Linked DNA regions of Macaca mulatta. The protein of the gene in region 2 purifies or fractionates together with the protein of the main gene of each other region. This does not show direct contact. Links are inferred from orthologs where the notes say so. Each region holds a gene or a part of one and is shown on either strand. Other genes may lie near its edges.

Region 1 (3,824 bases), on a different chromosome or scaffold from region 2:
GCCTTTCTGCTTTGACTTTCCATCTCTTTCATGGGTGTTTTAATAATAGGCATGTATTACTTGAATAATTTTTTTTTTTTTTTTGTAAGAGACAGGGTCTCGCTGTGTCACCTAGGCTGGAGTGCAGTGACATAATCATTGCTCACTGTAGCCTCTTACTCGTGGGCTCAAGCTATTCTCCTGTCTTAACCTCCAAAGTATCTGGAACTACAAGCATGTGCCACCATGCTGCACTAATTTTTTAAATTTTTGTAGAGAAGGAGTTTCACTGTGTTGCCCTGGCCGGTCTTAAAACTCTTGGGCTCAAGTGGATGCTCCCACTTGGCCTCCCAAAATGCTGAGATTACAGGTATGAGCCACTGTTCCTGGCCACTTAACATATATTTTTAACTGAAATAAATGTAGCTTACATTTGGAAAAGTTGTAATATTTAATGAAGATTAAGCTAAAATCATGAATGACAAATGGTTTATCCATCCCTGCTTACATACGGTTATGTAGGGTTTCACTTGTCCTAATATCCTACCACCAGCTCACTTCAAATTCACTTCCTCTGGGGTTCATCTCTTATCTGATCCCACTTTGAATACTTACATTTTTGTTTTTGTTTTTTGAGACAGGACAGGGTCTCACTCTGCTGCCCAGGCTGGAGTGCAGTGGCATGATCTCAGCTCACTGAAACCTCGACCTCCTGGGCTCAAGCAATCCTCCCTCTTCAGCCTCCTGAGTAGCTGGCAAGCACCACCACGCCTGGCTCATTTTTTCAATATTTTTTTGTGGAGATGGGGTTTCACCATGTTGCCTGGGCTGGTCTCAAACTCCTGAGCTCAAGAGATCTGCCCACCTTGGCCTCCCAAAGTGCTGGGATTACAGGCGTGAGCCAACGTGCCCAACCCCCAGATACTTAATGTTTTTGATTAACAAAGTACCTCATTTGTAATGTAGCCTTTTTTTTTTTTTTTTTTTTTTTTTTGGGACAGTGTCTTGCCGTGTTGCCCAGGCTGGAGTGCAGTGGCATGATCTCTACTCACTGCAACCTCTGCCTTCCAGGTTCAAGTGATTCTCCTCCCTCAGCCTCCCAAGTAGTTGGGATTACAGGCACATACCACCATGCCTGGCTAATTTTTGTATTTTTAGTAGAGACGGGGTTTCACCATGTTGGCCAGGCTGGTCTTGAACTCCTGGCCTCAAGTGATCCACCCGCCTTGGCCTCCTAAAGTGCCAGGATTACAGGCGTGAGCCACTATGCCCCACCAAAATGTAATTAGCCTTTTAAATTGCCTGAATTTTCTATTGTTTCCCAAAGGACTTGATACTGCTTACAGTAAGATAATGATGCACATCATAGGAACTGTAAACATTGAGATTACAATTATATAGCCTAATATAGTCCTACAATTGAGCAGTAAATTTAACTTAGTTTCCTGGAAGTAGGCAAAAAATAAAACATTTTAAGTTCTGTAGTTGTGGTTTGACAAAAAGACACATACGTTTTTGTTTAAAGAAACCTTTTTCTGATTCTAAATTTCGAGAAGAAATGTGTTTCATAGACCCTTTTATGCAATTTATATTGTTCTGGTTACTTCTTGTTTTGTTTTGTTTTGTTTTTGTCTACCCAACTAAATTACAAGCTTCCTTAGGACAAACTCTATTTTTCAATACTATTTTTGTTCTATCTTTGCCTAGAAAATGTGTGCTTATTATAGTTGAAATGATAAATTAAGCAACAGTTGCAACACAGCCATATTTCATGGATAATGTTACCACCAGTTTTCAAAGACTTAATTTTTGAGTAGTTTAGGAATTTATACTACTTTCATCCCTTTCAGCAGGGAATCCTTTTTGAGACAGGTCTCACTGTCACCCAGCCTAGAGTGCAGTGGCATAATCTTGACTCACTGAAGCCTCAACCTCCTGGGCTCCCGGGCTTAAGCAGTCCTCCCACCACAGCCTCTGGAGTAGCTGGGACTATAGGTGTGCACCACTATACCCAGCTGTGTTCCTTGGGGGTTTTTTTTGTTGTTTTTTTTTAAGAGATGAGGTCTTGCTATGTTGCCCAGGCTGGTCTCAAACTCCTGGACTCAAGCGATCCTCCCACATCAGCCTCCCAAAGTGCTGGGCCGATCAACAGGGAATCTTTTATGATAGCCTTGAAATAAATAAATATTTATTTATTTGTATGTAGCACTCGGTCATCTTGTAGCCCATACTTTCTAGCTGAATATGTAGTATGAAAAACTGGAAATTTGAACTTTTGTTTAATGAAAGTTAAATATTTTTAAATAGGGCTGATAGCTTTCAACTACCTTTTCCTTTCTCTTAGGCCAAGTTATCAAGGCATGGGACATTGGGGTGGCTACCATGAAGAAAGGAGAGATATGCCATTTACTGTGCAAACCAGAATATGCATATGGCTCAGCTGGCAGTCTCCCTAAAATTCCCTCGAATGCAACTCTCTTTTTTGAGGCAAGTATGTGTGTGATGTTGCCTTGTCAGCATCTGCTCTACAATAGGAATGGCTTTGAAGCAACAGGCAGTGGGAAAAGGAGCTATAGAGAATCACATCCAACTTACTTATTTTGGAGCATGGCTTCTTGGATTGTTTCCCACAAACCCAAGGGTGCACGTGCCAGTGCTTTTTGAGAAACGTATTTCCACCACAAAAAGGTCATATCCAAATACGCAAAAGACACTACACTTAGAAATAAAGAATCTGGTCCATGGTGTGAGTGTGACATACTCAAAATTGACCAGAATGCAGGATGGAAATGTTGGCAATAAATGTTGAAATATGCCTATGTCAAGTTGCAGGGTATTTTCATATTATAAAGGTTTATATGTCACAGATCTCACTTCTCTAGAAGTGTTTGATGGTGATAAAACATTATTCAACCTGTGTTGAAATTACATATATTTGGCAAAACTTGATTTTTAAGAACTACCCCAGCTAGGTAAAATATACCTTTAATCAGTCATAGGCCACATTCATGAAATTTATGTTTACATTTTGAGAAGGGAACTCCATAAATCCAGGGTGGGAAAGTTGTGGCCTCAGACAAACTGTTCTACACCAGCACCTTGTAAAGCTCTGGGTTTTTGCCCACAGGGTAGTGTTCCTAGTATTTCCTGTCTCTGCACCGCAGTCCCTTAGGATATAGTCCTAGACATTATCATTATGTGAAATTCTTTCCAAGTATGGAAAAGTATAGTGGGTTTTTTTTTTTTTTTTTTTGCTACTTTTCCAATAATTAAGATGCATAAATGAATGTATACATTTTGAAACAGCTTTATTTTGTAAAATGAAATAATTGGTTGCCCTTGCCTTCACATATGTTAAATTGGCTTTATTTGGTCTTTTCTCATCTGAATTCCTTTTTTCTTTCTAGATTGAGCTCCTTGATTTCAAAGGAGAGGACTTATTTGAAGATGGAGGCATTATCCGGAGAACCAAACGGAAAGGAGAGGGATATTCAAATCCAAACGAAGGAGCAACAGTAGAAAGTAAGTATTAAAGTAAGAGGGAACTAGTCCTTAAAAGTTGGACCATTTATGTGGACGAAATGGAGACTTAAAAAAAATATGTTTATGGAAATGAACATATCGGCTGGGCGTGGTGACTCACGCCTTTAATCCCAGCACTTTGGGAGGTGGAGGCGGGCGGATTGCCTGAGCTCAGGAGTTTGAGACCAGCCTGGCCAGCATGGCGAAACCCCATCTCTACTAAAAATACAAAAAACTAGCCAGACGTGGTGGTGCATGCCTGTAATCCCAGCTCCTTGGGAGACTGATGCACAAGAATCACTTGAACCGGGGAGGTGGGGGTT
Region 2 (3,195 bases):
GTTTTAGTAAAATGTCTCTACTCATTGCATTGCACAAGTTAAAAATATTACAATAAGTCAGTTATAATTCCTTTGACTGTAAATGTACCTCAGTGTATGACTTTTATGTGTGAAGGTCATTACAAACAAGAAGTTTTACTGGGGGGAGTAGTAGGAAAGCATTACTTATTTTTTAAAAAGTTTTTACTGATTTGGTGTGGGAGCAAGTACACTGTTAATAGTTGGAATTTATGTGGTAGGTATGGGATATATATGGATTTATAGAAAATTTTGACATTTCTGCAGTGGAGTTCTGTTTTGGACAAAGTGTTTTATCAGTAACAAATTTGAATAAATGAAATACTATCAATGGAGGGCAAAGCACAAGCACTAATCTTATCTGAATAAGATTAGTTACTAACAGTACTGAGACAACAGGTACTAGATTTGTGGCTTTGCTATGTGTCGTAGAAAAAGCATTGGAGACTAAAGGAGTTTTTAGTAACTTTATTTTCTAAAACTCCATCCCACAAATATGTTTTCTTCGACATCTCCACTTCCTTTAAAAACAAACAGAAACAGACACAAGCTTATCTTGACGCAGGTTTTCAGTCAGCCGAATTCAGCTTTCAAAGAGGTGAGATCCACCAAAAGCAGCCGCGCGCTCGGCCTCTGCGCCGCGCTGGGTCTCCAGCAGCGCCGGATGACGTCCCCAAGGCGCTGCCCGGGGAGCGAGTCCTGGAAGACGGCAGCGGAGAGGGACGGGCGCAGGTCGTAGGCCACCACTGCGTACAGTATGTGCTGCCGCTCCCCCGAATAGGGCGCCTGCTTGGTAGTCATTTGCCAGAGAGTGATGGCAAAGGAATAAATGTCGGCTTTGGGCGTCACTCCCTCTCCTTTCAGGAGTTCCGGGGCGCGGTGGGTGTATGTGCCTCCAAGGGGGTAAAGGGGTGTCTGGAAGCACAGCAGATCTTCCAACTTCTCAGAGCAACCGAAGTCACTAATTTTACAGACATCCTGCTCACTGATCAAGATGTTCGCGGGCTTCAGGTCCAAGTGCACAATGCTTTGCGAGTGGAGGAAGAGCAGGCCGTTCACAACATCTAGGGAGTACTTGAGACACTTTCCCAAAGTTAACGGTCCTCCAGTGCTGCAGTGAGGCTCCCCCGCGTCCCCCTCAGGGTGGCCGGCGGCGCCGTAGATGACTTGGTGTAAAGTGACGTTGCCACCGAACTCCATGATGATGGTCCCTAGGCTGTTGGACCCCGCGGGCGTGCGCGTGCTGGCAGCCACCACGCGCACGATGTTATCGTGGCGCAGCCTTGCTACGTTGAGCTCAGCCCAGAAACTCCGCCGAGATGCTAGTCGGTTCTTAGTGCACTTGTTCACTTGCTTTATGGCCACAGGAACACCGTGGTAAGTCGCCTTGTACACCGAGCCAAACCCTCCGGCTCCCAGCCTCTGCAGCAAGCACACCTGCTCCCAGTCAATGGAGCACCAAGCCAGCCGGCGCGGCAGCCGCGGGGCCCGAGGAGGAGTGGCCCCCAGAAGCAGCTTCGCAGGGAGCTCTGAGGGACTGCTGCAGGGCCGGGCGTCCACCGACGGGGAAAACTCGCTGGGGAGGTAGGGGCGTAGGGCCAGGGGCGAGGGCATCGCACTTTGCAGGGGGACACCAGGGCCGCTGGGGTGAATGAAAAGACCAGGGGAAACCGCGGGACTTTGGAAACATGACTGACTACTCCTTGGCTCCACCCCTATCCCTTTTCTCCTTTTCCTTCATTTGTTTCAAATGAGCTACATCTGTGCTGTCACTCAGCAAGAGTTTTTATCAGATGGAGGGAGAAACCGGAATGAAGCACAGCAGTCCCTTTCAGATGAAAGCATTTCCCTTCCACACTTGAAGTGAATTCTTATAAAAACAAGCTCATGCCAGATAAACAGCATGGAGCTGCCCCAGAACTCACCCCTCTTTTACATTATTTGTTTAACTATAATGAAATACTTTTTTTCAAGTCACATCCGCTGCACATTATCAGTCCTCAGACTAAAGAGACCACAAAGCACAATGAAATTGTTTCACACTTTGCAGGCTATAATGATTGTTAGTGTCATTCTCCAGCTGCATTAAATCACTTCCAGCAGTTATTGGCTGAGAGTTGAAATGCAAACAGCAGACATTTGTTTAATCAATTACAGGGAAAAACTAGGTGCAGCATTCATATGGATAAAAAATTGCAACGTTAATGAATCCAAATAGAATCACTGATACAGGTCATAACACACACCTAAATTCATCAGTGGAAAGGAGAATCCCCTGACAGTCTATGCAACTTACACAGCAAATTAGCAAGACGTCTTAGCAACATACTGACTTTGTAACAATCCTTCCCTTTCAAGGCGATTTGGCCCACCCGGTCAGCTCACTTGCAAGAGAGATTCTAGGCTTTGCAGTGAACGAGTTACAGAAGTTTTGAATCAGAGTTGGAGGAGAAAAAAGAACAGAATGATTCAGAGCTGTGATCAGGGCTTCAAATAATAACACATATGGGAGAATTGTAGAAGAGGAAAAATCTGAAGAAATAAAAATGGCACAAAATCACTAGTACCTACATATAATGTAGAAAACCAGAAGTTGGAATGAAATTCAGGGTATTGGCCATCAAACAACAAGTTCTTCCTTTCTGATTTTTATAATGAAAATTAATTTTCTACCAAGTGCAGTGAGTCATGCCTATAATCCCAGTGCTTTAGGAGGCTGAGGTGGAAGGACCACTTGAGGCCAAGAATTTGAGACCTGCCTCTACAAAAAATAATAATAAAGTTAGCTGAGTGTGGTGGCGCACTCCTGTAGTCCTAGCTACTTTGGAGGCTGGGGCGGGAGGAGACTTGAACTGAGGAGTTTGAAGCTGCAGTGAGCTATGATCGTGCCACTGCACACCCGGCTGGATGATAGAGCAAGACTCTGACTCTAAGCAAAAAATTATTTTTCATACCATATCTTTGGAAAAAGGACCAATAATACCATATTCATGAGAAACACGCGCGCACACACACACACACACGTTAGGATATTTTAAAAAAATCAAATGGTAGCCTGGCACGGTGGCTCACGCCTGTAATCCCAGCATTTTGGGAGGCCGAGGCAGGTGGATCATGAGGTCAGGAGATCGAGACCATCCTAGCTAACACAGTGAAACACCATCTCTACTAAAAATA

Evidence for each region.
Region 1: the proteins of MOS (region 2) and FKBP5 purify together in Homo sapiens (affinity purification with mass spectrometry; 3 studies listed by BioGRID and IntAct, counting the BioPlex papers as one, with this or other methods). This does not show direct contact. The link is inferred for Macaca mulatta from reciprocal best matches to the Homo sapiens genes MOS and FKBP5.

Annotation. Positions count from the first base shown.
Region 1 is NC_133409.1:146,649,447-146,653,270, forward strand, and holds part of FKBP5 (peptidyl-prolyl cis-trans isomerase FKBP5), read left to right. Parts: intron 1-2,323; coding exon 2,324-2,466; intron 2,467-3,386; coding exon 3,387-3,501; intron 3,502-3,824. UniProt on the Homo sapiens protein: Immunophilin protein with PPIase and co-chaperone activities. Component of unligated steroid receptors heterocomplexes through interaction with heat-shock protein 90 (HSP90).
Region 2 is NC_133413.1:66,759,171-66,762,365, forward strand, and holds MOS (proto-oncogene serine/threonine-protein kinase mos), read right to left. Parts: upstream 1,633-3,195; coding exon 592-1,632; downstream 1-591.